Linked DNA regions of Stegostoma tigrinum. The main gene of each other region encodes a partner of the protein of the gene in region 2 in a complex. Links are inferred from orthologs where the notes say so. Each region holds a gene or a part of one and is shown on either strand. Other genes may lie near its edges.

Region 1 (12,899 bases), on a different chromosome or scaffold from region 2:
TCTACTATGAGGGCCAATCTGAAAGTCTTGCTTAAATCTATAAATTTCGAACTACAAGAGATATCATTTCATTTAAAATCTTCCAATAAATATATTACATAAAACTGTTTTTCATAAGACAATACTAACATGTTATTCCCGATTAGGCGTTTCACTTCTTCCTATGTTGTCATCTTATATTTTACCCACATTAGATAAGGCTTAAGAGCTTAGTCAAGCATTACTCCCACTTTGAATAGTTCTGTTTGGTACTTAGCACAAATTATTTTGTTAGCAACTTCTTACTGAGGTGTTTCCACAGCTGATGCCTTTTCCTTCTTGTTTTTATCTTCATCAGTTCACCAATGATCACAATACATAAATACATACAAAAATTCATGGGCTGCCATCAATTGCTTTACCACTTTGAAAACAGTTGGGGCAGACTTATAAACTGGAAATCCTATGAATGGTCAGTACTGATGTGAGCAATTTTTTTTCTAAATTCCATGGTTCATAATGTTTTCTTAGGTTTTCATTCAAATAAAAAAAATTAGTTTCTTCACACAGTTTCAGACATTTCATTCTACTGTAAGAGGACAAGGTTTAAAAATATCAAGTGCTCTAACTTTTCAGCATCCATTGGACTGTAATGACAAAAATGCTTAACTAAATTGGGGAAAATTACAACCAGTAAGTTATGATGACCGACATGGACAACAGCTTGAAGGCACAAAAGTTTAAACTCACTTTCCAGTTTAAGAGCAGATGGAAAATCAAATTGAAACAATAAGTTACAGTGCAATTGATTTTCCCAAGAAAACTGAATGTCCTCCATTCAGGTCATGGTTTTCCATTTTGAATGACAAACATTCAACATTACTTTAATTTGGCTCCAAATATAATCAAGAATCCCTGTTGGTCATCATAAAGTAAACTAATTTTGTGCAAAATTCAATGTTCGGTAATTTAATGGCTACACCTAAATAAAGTTGAATATTTGTCTTCTAGATTGTTTGGATAAACATAGCTGTTCAAAATATCCTGAACTGAAAAATGCACTATACGTGAACCAACGAATAGTAAACTCTGCACAGTAACACCATAATATCTCTTATCAGACAACAGGTGTTATAACTCCCTTTGAAAATCCTCACTTTAAGGCTTCCAAAAGAAGATTAACACCATCAAAACAAAATCATGAAATAGCATGCTAAAACAAGACATAAATTTTTGGTTCATCTTATTTTGAGAAATCCCCCCTTGATTTTACAACAATTAATACATATAAACATACTAAATCTGAATCAAACAAGTGGAATGTTTAAATTGAGGTAGGAAAATAAATCGGTTTGTGACCTAAAAATTGAAACACAACTATCATGTCAAAATGATACAGGTAATACTAAGAGTTAGACAGATGGGCTACGTTTCTACACTGCATGTTAAAATTTAGCTTCTATTATCTAAAGAGACATGCGATTTTTGATTTCTAATGACACTTAAGTTCCATTTACATCAGAAACATGACACCGAAGCAAAGCAGCTTTTCGTTGAAAATATAGCTGCAATACTTCAATTTCCTAGAATCAGTACAAAATGAAATCATTTCATACTGACCATAAAGTTTTAGTGCAACTGTTTTAATTGCAATATTAGATATATGATAATATTTAATGTCTGGTGCAAGTTCTTTCTCCCCACCCCCAATTGATTCTTGTGTTGAGAGCACCATACAATTCACTTTTGGGTTAGTTGTCCTGAAAAGGCAGGACAGGTTCTCCTTCTTAAACCACTGGTAATAGTTGATACACTGAATAGCTTGATTGGCCAGTTCAGTGGGGAGTTAAGAGCTATGCTAGCGTAGGACTGGAACTGCAACAGGCTGCACTGAATAAGGATGGCAAGTTCCCTTTCTTGTGGAATATTAAGGAATCAGTTTGAATTTTATAGAAATCCACCAACTTCTCAGCTTTTTATTCCCTTTACAAAGAAAAGCTGAAATCAAATTCTTAAACTGAATTATAGTCTAGTTCTCTAATTACTAATCTATTGATAATCACAACACATATGCCAAACAATGCAAACAATCCCTGAATAATGCACTAACATGCTAAATGATATTATACACTCAAGTCCTGGAATGAGTTTGACCTTTCTAATCACATATGAAAATAATAACCATTGAAGTAAAGCTTTGGTATTTGTGAAATACCTTCTACCTGTATCAAATATTTTAACTGATTTTTGTCAAATATTGTAATAGATTGAAGTATTTTCTGGTCTCAACTAATCAGTAAAATGGGTTTTGAACGACTGAGCATATTTCTTCACATACATGGAGCAGGTGAATGCTCTTTCCCAAATGCAAGTTCACTGGTGTACAGTTAGCTTGGATAAACTGCGGAACCTTTTAGCACAGTAATTGCACCTGAATGGCCTCTCCTCAGTGTAAGATCTCAAGTCTGCAGTAAGGCTGGTGGAATGCTTGAACCTCCAACACATCAACATTTCAGACTATACTCTGCTAAATACTTCAAATAGCCAAACAAATAGGGTCTTTAAAGGAATGGTCCAAATATATGCATTGGCAGTTGGCTGAGTAATTTTCTTGGTCATTTAATACTATTAACACGTAACATTTCACGTGTTTTGTGCAATTTAGCTTTAAATAGTCTGAAATACCAGATTTGAAAACAACTTTATTACATTTAATTTACAATTGTGATTCAAAATGTGACTTCTTTATTGTTATGGCATGCAAAACATTATGTTTTTCTGGCAAGTGAGCAGGTACTACGCTTCATTATGAAATTGCTTGATTTCAACATTTTTAAATGGCAAGAATTCAACAACTAGCCTATTATCTGAAACAAAACTGTTATCAAAGCAGAGAAATGTTACCTTAGCTTACTACACAGAAATACTTGCCATAACAGTATGGTAAATGCTCTGATACACCATCAAAATTCCTACCTTCTTCGTTTCTCAGTGTTCCGCAACCTACAACGTTGAGTTGGATCTCATCATCATCTTCTTCTTCCTGATCATGGCCCAGCATCATCCAACTCTCTACATTTTCATCATCCTCTGTTTCTGAATTTTCACCTCCTTTAATCACTGCTGGGTTCTGTGGCAACTTTCTGCTCAGACTGTCCGTGTTCTGTGACAATTTCTGCAGTTCGGTCAGCCAACCCACACTTGGCTCCAGGTATTCAGCTGACACTTGATCAGACTTCTCTATGGATTGATCTTTTCTTCCAAGGAGTTCACAATTTGAGGGCTTAACACCTTTGCAGGCATATACACTATCGTCATCTTCAGTATCTGACAGAATAATGATATCTGGATCATCTGAAATGACTATGACATCATTGCCAGAAGGTACAGGTGCGTTTTTTGTTTCCTGTGTCAATTTTCCATTGTCTTCAACTGAAGCAGAGTCTGGATGGGCTGAGTCCATCTTTCTATCCATCATTTGTCCATTGAGGTTGTTCGCATAGTGCACTTGGCTGTACAGCTGGAACTCTAAATCACTATCTACTCCAGTATCACTGGATGACTCCTCACGATAGAGTTCATCTTCATAGGCCTCTTTATCTTCATAACCAGCAAACATTGTCAAAGGAGAAAATGTTCTGTATAAAAAGAAACAAAAAAGGTTTTAAAAACTAATATCAATTTTTTTGGGAAAACAAATACTGCTATCAGAGAATGGGCATGACAAAATTAAAGCAGAGTTAAAAATCTTGAGCACAACCTCACATTCCCAATCCAAATCGCTAGTGATTTTTTTCTTTGTTGGGCTATTTGGGTACAATCTACTCACAAATTTCACAAAGCAATTTGAATCTTCCTAATCATACACTTTTTCCAAATATTTGTATTTTTTTTCCCTGATGCTAAATTCAGTGGTCTATAGCTTGTTGGTTTAACCTGCCTTGTTTTTTGAAAAACATTAAGACATTTTCTACTTCCAATCTTCTTGTACTATCCCCAAGTATTGAGTTTTGAATGATCATAACCCACGCTTGCACAACTTCTACATCTATTGCTTGTAATATCTTCAAGTGGAAACTATCTGGGCCTGGGTATCTGCATGCTTTTAAGGTAAAATCTAATGCAGTAGAAGAAGAACAGGAACAGGGCAGACATACTCAAGGGGAGATCTGTTAATGCTTTTGGGGCAGATTTAAATTGGATTGGTAGGGGGATGGGATGCTGACAAGTAGTTCAGAGGGGAGAGACACTGAGATGGGACTAGAAACTAAAACAAGTGAGTTTGAAAGCCAGATGAATTGCAGCATAAACAGAAGAAAGAAGTAAGTTTAGAATATAGTTTTAATACTAGGAGCTGACAGAAATAAGATTATTTACATAAGGATAAGCCTGGGGAATACAGGCCTGAGAGTCTGATTTTGGCAGTGGGTGAGTGATTCTGAAAGATATAGAATTTATATGCATTTGGAGAGGCAAGGAATGATTAGGGACAGTCAGCATGGTTTTGTGTGATGGAAATCGTCTCTCACAAACCTGATTGAGTTTTTTTGAGAAAGTAACCAAGAAGATGGATACGGGCAGAGCAGTAGACATTGTCAAATACTTACTAAAGTCCAAGTAAACAAAGTTCTGCATGGTAGACTAATGAGTAAAGTTATATCACATGGGATTGAGGGTGAGCTTGCCAAACTGGATGCAAAATTGGCTGGCCAGTAGGAGACAAAGTGACGGTGTAGAGTTGTTTCTCGGAGTGGAAGCCTGTGGCCAGTGGTGTTCCACAGGAATTGGTACTGGGTCTACTTTTGTTTGTCATTTATATAAATGATTTGGCTGAGAATTTAGGAGATATGGTTAGTAAGCTTGCAGATGACACCAAAATTGATGGTATAGTGGTCAGTGAAGGAGGTAATCTAAAATTACAAAGAGATCTTGAGCTATTCAGGCAATGGGTTGAAGAGTGGAAAATGGCGTTTAATTTGGATAAATGCAAGGTATTGCATTTTGGTAAAACAAGGGCAGGACTTATACAATTAATGGTAGCGCCGACCAGGAAGACCTAGGGGTTCAGGTACAAATTTTTTTGAAATTTGTGTCATATGTACACAGAGTGGTTAAGGAGATGTTTGGCCCTTTGAGTAAAGGAGTTGGGATCTCATGTTAAGGTTGTACAGGACACTGGTGAGACTTCTTCTGGAGTAATGTGTACAGTTCTTGTCATTCTGCTACTGGAAGGATATTATTAAATTGGAGAGGGTTCAGAGGAGATTTACAAGGATGTTGCCTGGACTGGAGGGTCTGAGTTATTAGGAGAGGCTGGGACTTTTTTTTCCACTGGAGTGTAGGAAGTTGAGAGGTGGCTTTTTGGCCACAGATTCAGGTGTAGTGAGAGAATAGCTAATGCATCAGTGTCTCTCAAAACCTCATCTCACCTCACCACCATTTAGTGAATCTGACTCTAATTATCTTTGCAGCCCAGTGGACACATGAAGTAGTGATTGCTGAGTAGCCAAAGCATACCATTTTGGAGGATACTCAAACTTCAGGGACCAAAGCCAGAACGTTTCAAACTGCATACAAAGCCATACCTAGGTATGCAGACTCCTGAACCTAAGAAGAAGATTCAGAACAACAGGAGAAACACAACTTTTATCCCTGAGGACTGCTTTACAAGGAGCGATTGAATAGATTAGATCTGTACTTGTTGAATTAAAAAAAAAGAGACAACATGAATGAAACATGCAAGATTTTTAAGAGGTCTTGACATGGTAGATGCAAATGTTTCCCTTTGTGGGAACGTCTCAGACCACAGGACATAATCTCAGAATAAGGAGTCACACATTTAAGACAGATGATTTAGGATACTTATCAAAAATAAAGTGGATAGGCCAGGATTTACAAGAATGTTGCCAGGACTGAAGGGTTTGAGTTAAAGGAGAGCCTGCATAGGCTGGGACCTTATCTCTTGAGCATCAGGGGCTGAGGGGTAACTTCATAAAGCTTTATGAAATCATAAAGGACAAAGATAAGATAAATACCTAGGGTGGGGCAAGTGCAAAACTAGAGGGCATAGGTTTAAGACGAGACCGAAAAGATTTAAAAGGGGCAACTTTCCCCCCCACACAGAAGGCAGTGTGTGTATGGAATGAATGTCAGAGGACATGCTGGATGCAGGTACAATTACAACATTTAAAAGACATTTCGACAGGCACTTGAATAGGAATAGTTTGGAGAGAAAAACCACAAGAACTGCGGATGCTGTAAATCAGGAGCAAAAATACAAGTTGCTGGAAAAGCTCAGCAGGAAGGCACCTCATCCAGGAGGGCAACTGACTAACCAGTCCTCAAGGCATGGTGTGAGTCACGATATAGCTAATGGGAAAGGAGGCCATTCGGGCCTCCTTGGACTCGGGGCGAGCGGATATCAACGAGCCCTCAGTTGGGAGTGACAGCGAATACAGGTGCGCGGGGCGGGCGGGAACTTAGCGGCACGTGACCACCTCCATTGTCTCCCTGTCCCTAGAAGGGGGTGCCTGGCTTCCCAGCGCGTGCTCACGGACGCACGCGGCAGATCAGCACGTGCAGGTTCGTGAGAGGTACCGGACAAAGTTGAAGGAGTCGTCAGGGCCCTGGGACTCTAACGGCTCCCTGTTCGGCCCGGCACCCTGACAGGCTGCCTTCATGTATCTTCTCCGGCGCCGACCATAAGTTTCCTCGTGTCTCTTCTTTTTAACAGCCCGTTTTGCCGGAAAGTTTTACTCAGTACGCACCAGCCTGTTTACATCAGGAAGAAACTGCCCAAAGCTCCTGGCTCTAACAGTTGCACATTTGCAGCTGGCCGACTAAAACCAGCGAACGCCTCAGATATTGTGCCGGCGGAGAAAAGAGCTTCCGCAAATTTTTATCCAGCTGGCCGGCTATGAATTTTCCCTGCGTTGGCTCTTTCGCAAGATTACTATTAGCAGCGCGGTACCACACAGGCGTTTAAGCCTCTCGATACTGTGTGGCACAATTTACTTTTCATTCCTTCAAGCAAGTAAAGCAGCAACTTTTTCAAGCGAAAAATTGGCACGGTATTTTGGATTATGACACTTTAAATTGTGGATTCAAATCACATTCCAGCGAAAATTGATATAATCAATGTAAACAAGGCAACGCTAAATTCGATTTATAGACACTTCTAGTCAGTGTGTGTAGATGCTATCACACAGCTTTGGAGCAAGTGGAACATGAACCCGGTTCTTGTGGTGGGAAGAGAAAACCCGAGTGATCCATCAACATGACCCCTGTCACAATATGCAAAACCTTTTTAAAGCCATCAGGGCCATCTATACACAGATCAAATATTTAAAAAATCCTCTTCATTTACAGAGTGATGTCTGTCTTTGTCAAATATGTCAGTGACACCTATAAACACTAGAAGGAACATTCCCAACATCTCAACTATGAAACCAAAGTGTGACGGAGTACTCTCCAGGCTCTCTGCCTGTACATTGTAGTAGAATCCATGGGTGAATAACTATCAGTTGGAAAGCTACTGCAAGCAATTAAATAGATGAAGAACAACAAAACTTACAGCTCCAAAGGTATTCCAGCAGAGGTCTTCAAAGCTGATAGGCTTTTGTTCGCATCAAGACTCCAGTCACTGATCCTCTGGAATTGACAGAATCTGTTCCACCTCCCTCCAAGGAAAGTGACTATTTTATAACTATTTTCAATACGGGAGATTGATAATGCCAGACAACTGTCAAGGTAGTTCCCTGTTGTCGATAGCAGGGAATATCTTAACATGCCTAAAATCCTGATGCTGATTTCTTTGCCTGACAAAATCCTCCCAGAGATGCAGAGAGCCTTTAGGCTGTCCAGATGAACTTCTGGCATGGTTTTTCTTACCTGACGGATCCACGAGAAATGTTGAACTCAAAATGAGAAACTCTTCATCATGTTTATTGACTTGCCTAAAGTATTTGACTCAGTAAATCGCAAGGTTCTAGGAATTAGGTTTTGTTGCGATGTGGACTCAAGTATGGGGTACAAGAGTACATTGAAAAGCATACAATGTCACCATACGCTGTGCCATCTTAGGTTCAAAGTACTAGGGTACAAAATCTTAGTTACAGAAATGCTAAAATAAACAAAGGTAAAAAGTTCAGCTTTTTACAGTCTTCTTACCATAAAGTAGAAAAAAAAAGTTAAAATGTCAAACGTTACTTTCCTTTCTTGAGCCATGGGCCTGCAGATGCTCCAAGCTGGCCTTCCCCAAGGGGGCTTGCTGTCCCCTATGCTGAGCTAAGACCTGCCCAAGCACGCCAACCTTTGCTACTGCTCACAAAGCTTCAATTCTGACTGCCGCCTCTTTGCCGACACTGCTGCCACCATCCTTCATGGCCAGCCATTGCTGATGCCATCTTTTGGCACAGCCACTGCTGCTGCTGCCATCTTTCATCACCAGCTGCTGCCTCACTGCTGTCACCATCCGCGCTTGCAATGGGTCCCAGCTGCTGGCACACACCATCACTATTACTGTCTACATGGCCTCCAAAAGGTATGGAAGAAACTTAAAAAAAAAACTGAGAAAAGACGAACAAGGTGAAAGAGAAAAAAGAAATCTGTGGAATAGATAAGACTCGGGCTCAAGGCACTGGATGCTGCCTAGCCCACCCCCACAACTTGTGGCAACAAAAATAAAAATTGCTGGAAAAGCACTACTGGTCTGGCAGTATCTGTGGAGAGAAATCAAAGTTGACATTTTGGGTCCAGTGACCACCATCAATGAATTGCACTCCAGAATATTCACAAAATGTCATCACAATCCTGCAACTGCTTCATGATGATATGACTACAACTGTGTCTTGAAACAGGTGCCTTCAAGGTACAGATCAGTGCCAAACAAGGCTGCATGATAGTCTCCATGCAGTTTACTATCTACCTGACCATGGTCATTCACTCCTTCAAAGATCAGCTGCCCTCTGGTATGTGTACTAAACTTTAACCTCAGTTGCTTCCTTTCAAAATTAAGCTTACCACCAAAGGCAGACATGAACTACAGTATCCAGGTGACTAGTATCATTGCCTCACTCTGCACTAGCTTTGCTTGACACTTTGCAGGAGTAGGCCACTAAGTCCCTCAAGACTGGTCTGCCATTCAGTAAAATCATGGCTAGTCTGACAATATTTCCATCTACCCGTAAACCTTTCATTACCTTGTTTGTCAAGAATCTGTCTCCCACTACCCTAAAATATTTGAAGACCCTCCTTCCCTTGCCTTTTGAAGAAGAAAGTTCCAAATGGCTCACAACCAAATGTGAGGCAATGAATTTTGAGAGGACTAACAAGGCGAGGAAATACACATTGAATGGTAGAACCCTAGGAAGTACAAAGGATCAGAGGAATGTTGGTGTACATTTCCACAGATCCTTCAAGATAGCAGGTCATCTGGATAAAGTGGTTCAGAAGGCATATGGGATACTTGCCTCTGTCAATCAAGGCATTGAATACAAAGGCAAGGAGGTTATGATGGAACAGAAACAGATGTTGTTGGAAAAGCTCAGCAGGTCTGGCAGCATCTGTGAAAAAAATCAGAGTTAATGTTTCGGGTCTGGTGACCCTTCCTCAGAATAGGAGGTTATGATGGATCTGTATATATTAGTTAAGTCTCAGAGTACTGTGTGCAGTTTGTTTGTCACACCATAGGAAGGATGTGATTTCACAAAAAAGGGTGCAAAAGAAATTCATCAGGATGTTGCCTAGGTCAGTGTGATTCAGTTAGAAAGAGAGGCTAGATAGGCTGAAATTATTTTCTTTAGAGCAGAGAAAGCTAAGGAGGAATCTGACTGGGACGTACAGAGTTTTGAGGTGCAGAGATAGGATAGATAGGGAGAAGTTGTTCCCTTAGTAGAGTGGTCAATAGAAGAGGGAGCATAGCTTTAAGGTAAGAAGCAGGAGGTTTGAGGGGGGATTTGAAAAAAAATACCCGTAGGACTGTGGGTATCTGGAAGTCTTTGCCTAAAGGGCGATGGAGCTATGAAACCTAAAGATTTTTTGGCAGTTTTAGACGAGAATTTGAAATGTCATAGAACACAAGGCTATGGGCCAAATGCTGGAAAATGGGATTTTGATTATAGGTGTGGGCACAATGGGCTAAAGGTCCTCTCTTCCTGGGATGAAAACTGTACAAAGCTACAACCTTTTGTGGCAACAGAAAATTATCTCTGTCTTATATGGGTGTTTTGAAACGATGATCCCGAATTCTAGAATCTTCCACAAGAGGAAACATCCTTCCCTAAGTTATGTCTTTAGCAGACATAAGCCAATCTGTTCAATCTTTCCTCATAAGTTATCCGACTCGCTCCAGCTTTTAGTTTGGGAAATTTTCTCTAAACTGCTTCCGTGAATTTATATCCTTCCTGCAGTAAGAAGAGTATTACTGTACTTAGTAGTTATCCTCACACCAATGCCAATATAACTAAAACATAACTCCCTATTACTCACAATAAACTATAACATTCTATTCACTTCTTAATCATTTACTGGACCTGCTGAGTAGCTTCTTGCAATTCAATAGGAAATCCATATCTCCCTGCACCTCAGAGCTGTGCAATCTGTCACTATTTAAATAATACACTTCTTTAATTCTTCTTGTCAAAATGGGAAATTTCACATTTTTCCGTATTATACTGTATTTGCCAGATGTTTGCCCATTCACTACTGGAATCCTAGCCTCTGACCTGCACTTGTAGTGACAGTATTTATATGAGTGGTCCAATTCAGTTTCTGGTCAATGGTAGCTTCCAGGAATTTGATAGTGTGGGATTCAACCACTGTTGTTCTACTGTATGTCAAAGGGTGATGGTTAGATTTCCTGTTGTTGGAGATGGTCATTACTTGGCTCTTGTGTGGCGCAAATGTCACCTGCCCCTTATCACCATGGCAGTGCCATAATATGATGCAAGGTAACCTCAATGTGAAGGTGGAATTTGTCTCCACAGAATTGTGTGGTTATCACACCTACCGATATTTTGGACAGTTGCATCTGCACATGGTCAAATAAGTTTTTCCCTCTTGTTAGTACCCTCGTCACCTGCTACGAGCTAGAAGCTATAACCTTTAGGACTCTGCTAACTCAGTCAGTAGTGCTGCAACCAACACATATTGAAGTTCCACCAAGATTATATTCTGTGCTATTGCCATCATCATTGCTTCCTCCAAGTGCTGTTTAGCATGGACGTGAGCCATTTCATAAGCAAAGGGGAAGAAGTAAGTGGTAGTCAACAGGAAGTTTCCTTTCCCTGGTTCAACTTCATGGGGTCCAAGGTGAATGTTGAGGACTGCCGGAATAATTCCTTTCCACCTGCATATCACTGTACTACCACCACCTCTGGTGAGTCTGTCCTTCCAGTGAGATGAGAGAAACCTGGGAATTGCGATGGTAGTGTCTGAGACATAGCCAAAGCCATAGAATCATACCTTACAGATAAGGAACCTTCAACCTATTGTCTGGGGCAGTTATCACAATTTGGGCACAAGTGCAAAGATGGTTTCATGGTCAACTGGTTTGCCATTATCATTTCAGGTGCTTAAGTTAATGCTAGATGGTCCATCTAGTTCAATACTTTCAGATTTGAAGCTGTTTTGAACTGAGTGGCTTGCTAGGCCATCTCATAGGCAGTTAAAAGTCAGTTGCTGTGGGTCTGGAATCACAAGTAAACCATATGTGGGGAGGGTGACAGATTTTCCTCCCTAAAGCACAATGGATTTTTACAACATTGGTATTTTTTTAATAATTGAGTTCAAATTTCATGATCTACAATGGTAGGATTTGAAAACATATCCTGAGAATATTCACCTGCGTAATTACTCCAGAGAAAATACCACTGTACCATTTCCTCCCTTCTAGTTACTCTGATCATAATCCCACTGAGAAGAAACCCAATGTGAATGTTAAGTTATAGAGCGCAGCTGAATTAAGAGTCATTGCTTGGTTCTTGTGTGACGCCATTCTTGTTCCACGTGATTCTGGTGGTCAATTTACTGTTCTAACAAATTCCAGCGACAATTAAATACTTCTGCAGTAAAACCATGATGAGTTGAATCCCAGGAAATCCACCTATAAATTCATGTTAAGTGGCAGGGAGGTCATACCTGCATGAGAGGGGCAGCAGCAGCAGTGGGTGATAAATAACCAACCACAGAGAGACCATTCAACCTAATTCTATCTGTACAGGCTGAAGTATGTCACAGGAAAATGGGCAGATTATGGAGAGTATTTCTTTCATGACTCTTTTGATTGTTCAATTGGTTTAAATTAGGAGATGTTGTTACAGCTGAAGAAGAACATTAGGAATTTCACATTTAAATTATTTGACACCCAAATTAATTAATAAAATAGAGACGATTGAGAAGGCAATGCATTGCAGCTTTAGTATGTGGTGTTGGTGAATGCTGCTGTGATCCATGGTGAACACATCTGCAAGGGTTAATGTGGAGCTGGAAAAGTGCACCAGATGAGACAGCATCTGAGAAGCCGGAAATTCTGTAAGGATTGTCTGCTGAAGAAATTAAGCTCAGAGTTGATGAACTGGAGTTCAAGCTGCAGCATATCAGGAAGGGTGAGAGGTATCTGGACACTTAAACTCCTTATATCAAATTTGCTCTGTGTTCAGGAACAAAGGGATAATACTGGAAGTGAGGGAGATAGTCGGATCTAGTAATTAGCTTTGCAGTAGCTTCTTCCTTGCCTAATAGCTAATAGTTCTTGGCCCCAACGTGGACGAAGGCATAGAGTGTGGGGTGAATGAGCAAACTGACCACAGCACTATGGCAAAAGTGAGGGAGGAGAAGAGAAATATAGTAGTGCCAGGGTACATCATGTTTAGGGAATGCGGCAAAGACAGAGAATTCCAAAGACTGTGTTGTCTACCTAG
Region 2 (12,864 bases):
TTTTGACATTCTACTGAAATGCAACACATTTGCTTCATAAATCAGGTACACCGTCTGGCTGTGCTCTGAAATCTTCGTTGGAATCAGGGTTTCAGGGTTTGTTTTGCCTTACGTAACAGTGTATGTACATAGTGGGAGGTAATGGTCTCAGGATGACATCACATGACTATAAATCCAGGCAGCCAAGTAAATGGTTTGGGACTTGGTTTGAATCTTGCCAAAGCAGACTGTGGAATTGATTTCCGTTTGAGAAATCTTCAATTAATACTTCAAATGACGACCATGAAACCATTGTCGATTGTCACAAAAACTCATACTGATGACCTTTGTGGAAGGAAACCGTCACCCTTACCTGCTCTGGTCGACATGTTAATCTAAATCCACAGCAACACAGTTGACTCTTAACTGTCCTTTGAGCAATTAGGGATGGGGCAATAAATGCCAGCCCACCCAGTGACGACCACATCCATGAATGAATTTTTAAAAATTATTATTGAGAAAACGTTCTGACAATTTCCAAGGATCATCCTCAAACATGTTCATCAAGCTCAAGTCAATGCATGGTCCCTGTACACATGATGTATTCAGTCCTGGGTTGGTGGCTGCTGCTGCTGTTCGGTCCAGAGTTTGAGTTGAAAACATCTATTTTTCCACAGGGATAGTGGGAACTGCCGATGCTGGAGAATGTGAGATAACAAGGTGTAGAGCTGGACGAACACAGCAGGCCGAGCAGCATCAGAGGAGCAGGAAAACTGATGTTTTGGGTCTAGGTCCTTCTTCAGAAATGGGAGAGGGGAAGGGGATTCTGAATTAAATACGGAAAGAGGGGGAAACAGATAGAAGAGGGATAAAGGAGAATAGGTCGAGAGGAGACAGATTGGTCGAAGGCGGGGATGGAGTCTGTAAAAGGTGAGTGTAGGTGGGGAGTTAGTATGGGGGTAGGTCAGTCCAGGGAAGACGCAAAGGTCAAGGAGGCAGGATGAGGCTAGTAGGTAGAAGGTGGGTGTGGGGCTTGAGGTGGGAGGAGGGGATCGGCGGGAGGAAGGATGGACTGGTTAGTGGGGGCAGGGACAAAGTGAGCTAGTTTTGGGATGCGGTCAGGGGAGGGGAGATTTTGAAGCTTGTGAATTCCACACTGATACCATTGGGCTGCAGGGTTCCCAAGCAAAATGAGGTGCTGTTCCTGCAACATTCGGGTGGCATCGTTGTGGCACTGGAGGGGGGCCAGGATGGACATGTCGTCCAAGGGGTGGGAGGGGGAGGTGGAGTGGTTTGCGACTGTGACGTGCAGTCGTTTGTCACAAACTATGCTTAGGTGTTCCGCAAAATGGTCTCCAAGCCTCCGCTTGGTTTCCCCAATGTAGAAGAGGCCACATCGGGAACAGCGGATACAGTATACTACAATAGAAGATGAGCAGGTGAACATCGGTTTGATGTGGAAGGTCTTCTTGGAACCTGGGATGGGGGTGAGGGAGGTGGTGTTGGGGTAGGTGTAGCACTTCCTGCGATTGCACGGAAAGTGCCGGGGGTGGTGGGCTGGTGGGGAGCAAACAAGGGAGTCACAGAGAGAGTGGTCTCCCCAGAAGGCACATAAAAGGGTGCGGAGGGAAAACGTCTTTGGTAGTGGGGTCAGAGCGCAGATAGCAGAAGTGCCAGAGGATGACGTGTTGGATCCGGAGGTTGGTGGGGTGGTACGTGAGGACAAGGGGGATTCTGTTTTGGTTGTTCTTGCGGGGAGGGGTTGTGAGGGGTGAGTTGTGAGAATGCGAGCGATGCGGCCAAGGGCATTTTCAACCTCTGTGGAGGGGAAGTTGCGGTCCTCAAAAAACGAGGACATCTTGGACATCCGGGAGTGGAATGCCTCATCTCAGGAGTAGACGTAGCGGACGCAAAGAAATTGGGAATAGGGGATGGTATTTTTGCAGGACGGTGGGAGAAAAGAGGTGTATTGTAGGTAGCTGTGTGAGTCGGTAGGCTTGAAATGGATATCAGTTTTGAGATGATTGCCAGAGATGGAAAGAGAGAGGTCCAGGAAGGAGAGAGGGGTATCGGAGATGGTCCGGGTGAACTCGAGGTTGGGGTGGAAGGCGTTGGTGAAGTGGATGAACTGTTCGAGCTATGTGTAGGAGCACGAGGCAGCGCAAATACAGTCATCAATATAACAGAGGAAGTGGTGGGAATAGGGCCAATGTAGCTTCGGAATTGGGATTGTTCCTGGAATGGTATCCTGGAATCCACCTGGAAACGGATATTAATTTCAAGCCTACCGACTTCCACAGCTACCTAGAATACACCTCCTCTCACCCACCTTCCTGCGAATAGGCCATCCCCAATTCCCGATTTCTTCAAGTCCGCCACATCTGCTCCCAAGATGAAACATTCCACTCCCAGACATCGAAAAGTCCTTGGTTTTCAAGGACCGCAACCTCCCCCCTACAGAGTTCGAAAACGCCCTCAACCACGTCGCTCGAATTTCCCGCAACTCATCCCTCACAACCCCTCCCCGCAAGAACAACTAAAACAGAATCCCCCTCGTCCTCACGTACCATCCCACCTACTTCCAGATCCAATGTGTCATCCTCCGACACTTCAGCCATCTGCAATCTGACCCCACTACCAAAGACATTTTTCTCACCCACCCTTGTCTGCCTTCTGGGGAGACTACTCTTCCATGACTCCCTTGTCCGCTCCACGCTCCCCACCAGCCCCACCACTTTTCCCTGCAATTGCAACAAGTGCTACACCTGCCCCCATACCACCTCCCTCACACCCATCCCAGGCCCCAAGATGACTTTCCACATCAAACAGATGTTCACCTGCACATCTACTAATGTGGTATACTGTATCCACTGTTCCCGATGTGGCCTCCTCTACATCAGGGAAACCAAGCGGAGGCTTGGAGACCACTTTGTGGAACACCTCCCTTTGGTTTGTGACAAACGACTACACCTCCCAGTCGCAAACCAGCAGAAGTCCCCCTCCCACTCCTCAGATGACATGTCCATCCTGGCCCCCCTCCAGTGCCACAACAATGTCACCTGAAGGTTGCAAGAACAGCACCTCATTTTGCTTGGGAACCCTGCAGTACAATGGTATCAATAGGGATTTCACAAACTTCAAAACCTCCCCTCCCCCCGACCGCATCCCAAAACCAGCCCAGCTTGTCCCCGCCACCCCCCCCAACCAGTCCATCCTTCCTCCCACTGATCCACTCCTCCCACCTCCACCTCCTACCTACCAGTCTCATGATGCCTCCTTAACCTGCCCGTCTTCCCTGAACTGACCTACCTGAACTCCCCACCGACATTCACCTTACTGGCTCCATCCCCACGTCTTTGACATATCCGTCTCCTCTCCACCTTTCTACTCCTTTATCCATTTTCCATCCGCCTCCCCCTCTCTCCCTGATTATTTCAGAATCCCCTTTCCCTCCCCCATTTCTGAAGAAAGGTCTGGACCCAAAACATGAACTTTCCTGCTCAGCCTGCTGTGCTCAACCAGCACTACACCTGGTTATCTACTTTTGCACAGGTCTTTTCAACACAGCAAGACCACCTCGAGGATTTGTTAGTTAAATCGTGTCCATTATTTTTAAAAACTGCAAGGGTCTAAAGAGGACATGTTGCTTTGGAACTCATAGCCCTAAAATTTCAGTTGGTGACCCCAATGGGATGCCATGTTATTGGGTATCTTCTTTTAGGTATGATTACTGCTTCTACCTTGCTTGCAGTAGTTTTCCACTAATACTGCCTCGATATAGCACATTTGACACAAGCAAGTGTATGATCCTTAGCCTGAATCCAGATGCATACTTCATTTGTTTTGTTGAAAGTCTTACTTCCCTTTGAGGGGTTTGCCACACGGGTCTGCTTTGTAGACATATCTCAAATTTCCACAAAACCTGCAACATAGCCTATACTGTCGGCTCAATCCCATGCAAATGTGAATACAGCGTATCATAGTCAGGAAGATTTGGTGGCAGTGGGGGACTCTGTTGCTGTGAGGTAGGCTCATATGTCAAGTTTATGCAAAAGCATTATTTTTGGCCTTGTAAAACTGGGTTGTTTATCATCAGATTGACTGGTACCCCACAACCTACATGTGGAAAAGAAGAAACAGACAACATAGAACGAATGAAAAACATTGCTAAAAGTAGTGCAGGGACAGAGGGGTCCAGAGGTACATGTGCACAAATCTGTTGATGGCAGGACAACAGGTTATGAAAGTTGGTTTTAAGATGTGTGGGATACTCGGTTTAAGGAACATAAAGCAAACTTTTATAAGCACTCTGTTTTGGCCTCAACGGGAATATTGTATCCAATTCTCAGCACTACACTTGGGAATGTTCTTTCCAAATCCCCAGTTTGCCACTCACTCCAAAATCTACATGCTCAAATTGCCATATTTACCCATATTGACCTTCAAGAAACAGATATGGAAACCACGTGGGCAGAATGAAATTCACTATGCATGTCTGCTCTCAATTTTTGTGTGAGGGGAAAACTTTTTTGTAATATAAGCACAATGTACCAATCATATTTTAAAAAAAGCCATCACCTACAGTGATGTTTCAAAGTGAAAGCAGACATCGTAAAATAAAGAGGCAAAGAAACAAGTTTTTTTCCAATGTCTCGTGGTGGCACAGTGGTTAGCGCTGCTGCCTCATAGCATCAAAGATCCAGGTTCAATCGCAGCCTTGGGTGACTTTCTCCTCATGTCTGTATGGGTTTTTGCCAGATGTTCCCATTTCCTCCCACAGTCCAAAGATATGCAGCTAAGGGTCACTGCCATGCTAAACTGTCCCACAGTGCGCATAGATGGATAAGCAAGGTGGATTAGTCATGCTTAATGCAGTTATGGGGATGGGTCCCCCCCGCCATGGGTTAGTTGAGATGTTCTTCAGAAAGTCAGTGCAGACTTGATGCACCATGGCTTTTATCTGCAGTGTAGAAATTCAATTATCCTCTTGAACAAACATCTGTACTATAGCGATGCACAATTGAAGTAAATTAAATACATTCCTATTTTTGAGATGCTAACTGAAACACTAAAATTTCTGTACAAATTTAAACATTGTTTAGACTCAAAGACCATACATCAGTGCAAAAGTCAACTAATGAACAATATGAACGTTCTAAAATTTCACACATTCCAAGTGTCAGATGAAATAGGGCAAGAGGTTGATGTAGCCATTTCACATTAATAAAAACTGTTTATGTAATTAAACAAAATGGACTCTGTATTACAAGACAGCGTCTGATGGGTATAGTTAATGATCCTAAACAGGCAGTCTTACAAAATGGCTAAACTTTCCTTCTATTGCTAACACATCATGAAGTGATAAAGTGCACCAAATGCGTGATTTGAAAAGCAGTAAACGCAAAATTCTTTCTTCTGTAACTCAAAAAATAAACTTTTTCAGTCATATTTTCATTAGGACAGTACCACTTTTACACGTGGACAATCTATGATGTTCACCGAATTAGCTGCATTATAAACGAGGGCATTGACAGAGCTGACTTTAAAACACGATTTGCGAACTCCTGCGACATGACAAACACTGGAGTTAGCTTTCACCAAGCATCCACGGAGAGGAGGATCACGTGAAGCCACTTTTTTTTTGGGGGGGGGGGAAGAGAATCAATTAAGAACTCTTACCCCAAGACTCCCTCGCTGTAGTTCCGGCTTTTCCAGGGAGTTCCGTTGTAATGGCCATTTCCAGACAGGAGGCTGTAGTTTAACCCGAAAGTGCTTGCCTTGTTGTCCCGTTTCCTCTTATTGCCCGTGCCACTGGTCCTATTGCTGTTGTCGGGGTAGCCCTTCCTGCAGCCACCTTCTCCTGGGCTAGCTGAGAAGTTAGTGTTATTTGCGCTGGGCTCGAGTGGGAGGAAATCCCTCTGAACGCCTAAGTCCCCTCCTCCCTGGCTGCTCCTATCCCTCAACATAGTCTCGGTGCCCACACTCGTCGCTGCCGTCGCCGTTGCCGCCGCACAGTTATTATTAAAGAACAGATTCCTCAGCCCTTGCGTCGTTTCCCAAATTTGCATCCACAAAATGTTGGCAGGTCCGAGCTGTTCTGGCTGAAACCAGGCTACTCTCGGATCCATCAAACGAGGACGAGGTTAATACTCACTGAAAACGAGCGTCTGTTCGTTTTCTCTTTCTCCTCACCCTCCGCTCGGTCTCTAATAACCTTGTTCTCTTTCTCTCCCTCCCACCATCCGTCAGCTCCTCTATCTTGTCGGATACCCCCGTCAGCTTGTCACCGGGCCGGAACGAGAACAATCTCAACAGCAATGGCGACAGACGCTTCACTGCACATGCGCGCAGCGTGCCCTGACCGCCGTATGACTCGCGAGCTGGAAGCTGCGAACTCCTCGCGCAACAATTGGCCGCCCGTTGTGATGTCACGGCGACGAGGATGTTACGCGACAAAGAAAGGGTCTCGCGCCTACGTTCTTTTTTTCGGTTTATTTTCGAACGGTCTTTTTCACGCCTCAGATCCCCCCGACGTCCAACCGCCCTCCCGAAATGCCGCGCCCCCCACATCAACACACTGTCCTTCCCCCCACCTCCATAATCACTCTCACCCCTGCACACACTGTCCCTACCGCACATCTTAACTGTCTCCCCCCCACCCCCATTGCCCTCGCACTTAGCCCGCAGGGGCCCCACCCATTACCCTGGCACTCTGCCCTCACTGCCCCCCCATTGCCCTGGCACTCGGCCCTCACTGCCCCCCCATTGCCCTGGCACTCGGCCCTCAGTGCCCCCCCCCCATTGCCCTGGCACTCGGCCCTCACTGCCCCCCCCATTGCCCTGGCACTCGGCCCTCAGTGTCCCCCCCCATTCTTCTCGTACTCAGCCTTTACTATGTTGTTGGATTACAATGCTATGACTGACATGATGACCTACTTTGATTTCCAAGCTATTCTGTTTCACTTCAGATATTCAATGTCAGCATTTGAGTTCTTAATTATAGGTAAATGTGAAAGATGCAAACTGGTAGTTCAGCAATGTCTTAGTGCACCACTGTTGAGTAACCCTTGTACTTAACTGGCACTAATGTCAACGACACAATCGAAGCTAATGGTGACATGGGACAAGTCAATTACAGAATTAAATCTAGTTTGATAGATCATATGTTTATTTTTTGTCATTGGTGACTAACTACGTTGTTAACAATGATTTCACACAATGCTGCAGATGTTCTTGAACAAAACATACATTTTTCTAAACCAAACAAAAATAAAGCTATTTAAAGGGAATTAGAAAGAGCCTTAAAACATTAAAACGACGTTCAACTTGTTTCCCAACAGTATCCTTTAGAGACTCAAAGCACACAGAAGTATCACTATCTCTTTAAACTTTATATAACTGATTGCCCCAGTCAAACTTGCCCTTTGCTGGAATCTAAAGGACTGTCACTCCCTCGACATTCAGCTGAACTACTCATGCAGGCCAATGCTCATTATCCTGGCAGCCATCGTGACCCCTTAATTACGCAGTAGTACACTGTACCAGCTGCATTTGAGTCATCAGAACAAACCGGAGTGGCTTCTCTCATGTTTTCACATTATAGCTCATGATGCTGGAGTGTAATTTATTGTTATGATCTTAGCTGATGTTCTTCGCAGACAGGCCAGATCCCAAAAGAAACTTGGCTTGAGAGATCATGTCTTGGTTTCAACTTAGCATGTTTTTTCATTGAAAGCACACAATGCTCCTGATCCTGCTTTAACAGCAGAACAAATTTATTAACAAGAAATGAAGTTAAAATAGAATGAACCAAGTTCTAACAAATTTAAAATGCTCAGTAAAAAAAACTTCCACTGATTCCTAGATTCTTAAACATGATGACAGCACAGTCAGACTCATCAGCCAAATGTCATCTGCTTTGTTTTTCTATTTTCTCATTTTTGTTTCTCTCTTGCCCTCCTCCTACTCCTCCCACCCTTTCTACTCAGCGATGTCTTGAACTCCTGGCCTCAGCACAGACATGGCAGTCTCTTGGTGCATGATAGTGTGGTGTGGCATCAGCATGGACTTCTGGCTTCAAGATGATTCCAGTGCAGTCTCTCAGCCTGGAGGTGAAGCCAAGGTGTCAGCATGGACTGGGGCTGAAAGGACAATTATTCTGAACTTTTTATTTCTTTATCTTGTAATTTATTCCCATGATCTCAAATGCTGGACTTTTTGTTTTTTATTATTTTTCTATTTGTTTTCCTTCTTAAAAAATTTGTACTTAAGAATGTGTACCTCGGTACCTTTGTACCTAAGATGGTGCCATAAGTGGCAACTTCTAAATTTTGCCTTACTGCAGTAAGTACATGACAATAAAACAAATTCTAATTCTAAATAGGACCTTACAAATTGATTAAAAAACCAAGCTCTTTTTGTATCACTCAAAACATCAAGGTACGATATCTGAAAACACCTTGACCAAAAATACCACTTCCACAGGACTCTCGCAAGAGTCCCTGACTCAAACAATTTCACTTGTCAGTTTAACATACTGACAAGAATCACAGATAAGTTCTTTCGAGAGCCATTATACATCACAGCTTAAACAAACTCTGCTAAAAATAACCTCCTCTGGGTTTTAGCCCAACTTCAGGAGTGGGATATGAACTGGGTTTTCTGAAAGGTAACCTAGTTCACCATGTTTTTCTCCAGAGCACCAGTCTCTGCAACTATCCTCATCTAAGTTCTTCACAGGATGGCTCCAAGGGAATTTTTTTTAATCCGCCTTGCTAAGCTGTGGGTCTTATGCTTTTTCAAAAAAAAGGTCAAGTCCAAAAAATCTCTTGGAGACCTTACAGCCCCATTATTTACTTTCCAGAGTTGCAAAACAATCCAAACAAATATCCATTGGTGGTACACAGAATCCCAATTATTCTAACGCTATGTCCAAAACCTCTCTTAAAATGTATCAATGCGGTTACAGAATTTAATTATTAATTTCAGACATTGCAAAGTCCACAGGTTACTAACTCAAAAACCAAAACTCAAAATGTAAACACCAAGTCTTTTTATTTTTCTGTATTCCTGATCATGGACTAAAAGATGAGGCAGAAATGAATCATTTTAAACATTTTAAAACAAGGATTGCTGCACTTTTAGAAAAAAAACTGATATTCATTGTAAATACTGTGCATAGCTACTAGTTCAAGCAGTAGTGGAATTCTGCTTGGAGATGATCTCGAGCCAAGAAGTGTGTATTAGTGGAGCATTGGCTGGCAACAAGTAACTGGTCTGTGGACTAGTGATCCGTTATCGATGACAAAGTCCTTCTTCCTATCACCAACTGTGATGGACTTCATGGTAGCTGAATGGCTTCGGGTGTGAATGTTTGGGGAAAGCAACTGGATCTTTGCAAAGACAGCAGCTGTCCTGTTTGCTTTGCAATAAGAAGCATCTCAAGCCTGAAAATCTTCACTTTATTTTCCCTTTTCCAGCTGCTGTAAGTTGCAACTTTTTAAATTGATCATGTTTTCAATTGGACCCTGTCACCCCAATGCGTCCTGCAAAAAAGTGGAAGTGTCCAGAGAAGGAAGATCAAGAAGCAGTCTTCCGATCAGCACAAGAAACATCTCATCAAACTGTGAAAGGAACTATTGAATTACATTCCCAGTCCTTCCATCCACCATAATGCCTATGTTTTTTTTAAATCCCTGACTGAATGTGTCAGGGTAGTTTATAAGGGGCTGTGTGTTTTAGCTAGCAGAGTTGTATCAACAGTTCACAATTAATAGATTATTTCTTGTTAAATGCAGAAGTTCATGCTTTGTCAATATGAGTCTGAAAGGTGAGTAAATTGGAAAATTTTGCATTTGTTTACAACCTTTAACTTCTGCCGATTCCAGAAACAGCAGGACTTGATTTACAGCATGCCACCCCAGTGAGGCATAACAAGAAGTGATATTTCAAAATATACATCAATCACAGTTTATAATCACATAAGATACACTTCGATTTTAATCAATAAATGTCATGCTACCATGACATTTGTATTTGAGCAGACCATTGATTTGCTGATACAACTTGCCATGTCTAAACCACACTGGGGGACCCCTGCCAGATTATGCTAGTGCTGGAAATGCAACGCTTCCTCAATGACTGCAGCACAGTTGTTGGGAAGCTATGGATGTTTAGTAGAGAAAATTTTGAATCTTGAGCAACTGAAAGCCTAGAAGGTCCCACTTCAGATTGTGACATCTTGACATGGGCAAATGCCTGAGCTGGCTTACAGACAGCAGTAATGGCACTGGTGGAGTGGCAGAGGTGGAATGATAAATGTTCTTTCTCCTGAGTAAAAAGAGTGCTTATGCTTGATGGAGTTACTAATTTTTTTAGCAGGGTGATGCTTCAATAAAATTCTTGTAATCTGTTGTTGGGTAGTTTGGAGGGATTGACTGAGATGCAGATGGGTGATGAATGTCAGAGTGACTGCTGACAGGCCACAGTGGATGCATGAGAATGACATACAGCCTCGCCTACCATGACAGGAGATCTCCTTACCCGAATAGGTACAAGCCTCAGCAGCAGTTTGCTCTATTGATATGACCCCTTGCAAACACTTTGCAACATGTAATACAAAACCACGATGTCAGCATTGAGTTTGTATAGCCTTTAATAGCCAGTAGTCTGAGCTCCTATCACGGCATTCAGTCAGTGGGAAGCTGCTGCATTCAAGCAGTGGAAACAGAAACAACAGTCACCTGACAAAATCGGAAAACTAAAAGATAAATACTGAGGATGCTGAAAATAGTGAGGAAAATGTTCAGCAGGCCTGGCAGAATCTGTTAAGGGAAACATCAGATTTAATTACTTTCAGGTCATCACATTTCCAACATCTGAAGTATTGCGCTTTTGGTTTCCATTTTAAGTCACTGCAACTTCACATCCCGGATGGCGGTGAGTTGCCAACAACTGAATGGCTTGCTAGGCATTTTCAAATGATTGTCAAGAGCCAACCGCATTAGTATGAGTTTGGAATCACCAATAGGCCAGACTGGACAAGGACTGTAGATCTTCTCCACTTAAGGGCATGTAATAACCAAATTAGGTGGGCATGAGTTAATCATGCATTGCAATCCACAGCCCCATTATCTCTCCTTTTGTTCTATCTTTGACTCCACAGACTGACTCTGCTCTGCAGGTATGCCTCCAGGCCACTTGGGTAAGGTGGAAGATCCTCTTTCATCAAAACCAGGAGAGGGGGACCTCATTGTATCATTAAGAAATCCTGATTGACAGTTGTAAAGGGGCGTCATTAGTTACAGGATCATTTCGAGAACATAGCTGCTGATCAACAAGTGTGTGATTGACTTTACATTCAGCCAGAATTCACAGATGCGTAAATGAGTGGGTATGATTGCCGGGGAAGGAAATGGGGAAGTTGCAGGAACTCTTAGAAAAGGGCTGGATGTAGCTCCCTCAATGGGCATGTAAGTCAGAAGTGACACTTGTAGAGTCAGTCCAGAGCAGTCTAAGGTCGGACACATTCCAGTGACATCAAAATGAGCAGCGTGTCTTGCTTATCCATTGTACCTATTAATGTCAGGTAACCAACAATTCTCCTCTTTCTTTCTGTCAGAGAAGATAATCCATTATTTTAAAAGAACACAAGAATTCCTGGAGGCCTGGTTTTCAACCACCAATGCAATTAACAAACATATTGAAATAGACCCCACCTAGATGCCACAATGGTCCAAAACTAGAAACAAGACTGCCCACCTTGACAGATCAGACTATGTAAATTCAGAGTGGGACAGAACAACAGCGCTTCAACGGTGGTTACACAGCACTAACAATGTTACCTCGAAGAGATCAAACATTTGCATGAAAACCAGCCAGCTCGGTGAACCAACCAACAACTTAAAAGAACGTCCATATCAACAGCAGTGTATTACATCTTTCTCATGACTGGGCACAAGGAGCCTCAGAGGGACCAGGGGCTGGAAAACAATACTTGGGATTGCATATGGACCCCTAAACTGTAGTGGCAATGTTGGGAAGGCATTAAGCAGGAAATTAAGCAATTAAGGTCCTGTTGTGCTAATAGGTGATTTTAACCTGCACATTAATTGGGCAAATCAAACTGTAATAATACTGTAGAAGAGAAATTCCTGGAGTGTGTACAGGACGGTTTGCTGGATCAGTACATTGAGGAACTAACTAGACAACAGGCCATTGTAGACTAAGTATTGTGTAATGACAAATCAATAATTAACAGTCTAGCTGTGCAAGGGATAAGACTTCTTCATTAAGCTGGAAAGTGGCGTAATTGATTCTGAAGCTAGATAAAGGGAATTACAATGGTATGAGGCACAAACTGACTATGATAAATTGGGGAACGGTATTTAAAGGAATGGTAGTGGACAGGCAATAGCAAACATTTTAAGTCTGTATGGAGGAACTGCAAAAATGGTTGATTCCTGTCTGGCACAGAAATAAAACAGGAAAGATGGCCTGCCCATGGCTAACTAAGGAAATTAGGCACAACAAAGTGTGAACCTGGATGAACGCAGCAGGACAAGCAGCATCTCAGGAGCACAAAAGCTGACATTTCGGGCCTAGACCCTTCATCAGAGAGCTCCAAGAGGTCAAATCAGTGGAACACATAAGCTCAGGGAATCCATTTTACATCATAGTGAGCTACATTTGCAGCTTGATTTTGGAGAGCCTTGAGGACAAACATTAACTGAAGTAAATAACATTAAGTGAAGAGATTACAAGAGAGTTGCAGTGGGAGAGAGATTCCCTGAAGTTGGTTCGGAGGGTCTAGGCCCAAAACGTCAGCTTTTGTGCTCCTGAGATGCTGCTTGGCCTGTTGTGTTCATCCAGCTTCACACTTTGTTG

Evidence for each region.
Region 1: tent4b (region 2) and zcchc7 share a complex: the UniProt entries of both Homo sapiens proteins name them as parts of the nucleolar TRAMP-like complex. The link is inferred for Stegostoma tigrinum from reciprocal best matches to the Homo sapiens genes TENT4B and ZCCHC7.

Annotation. Positions count from the first base shown.
Region 1 is NC_081356.1:12,260,912-12,273,810, reverse strand, and holds the start of zcchc7 (zinc finger CCHC domain-containing protein 7), read right to left. Parts: upstream 6,675-12,899; 5' UTR 6,660-6,674; coding exon 6,577-6,659; intron 3,618-6,576; coding exon 2,956-3,617; intron 1-2,955.
Region 2 is NC_081369.1:27,978,691-27,991,554, forward strand, and holds the start of tent4b (terminal nucleotidyltransferase 4B), read right to left. Parts: upstream 6,333-12,864; 5' UTR 6,108-6,332; coding exon 5,659-6,107; intron 1-5,658. UniProt on the Homo sapiens protein: Terminal nucleotidyltransferase that catalyzes preferentially the transfer of ATP and GTP on RNA 3' poly(A) tail creating a heterogeneous 3' poly(A) tail leading to mRNAs stabilization by protecting mRNAs from active deadenylation.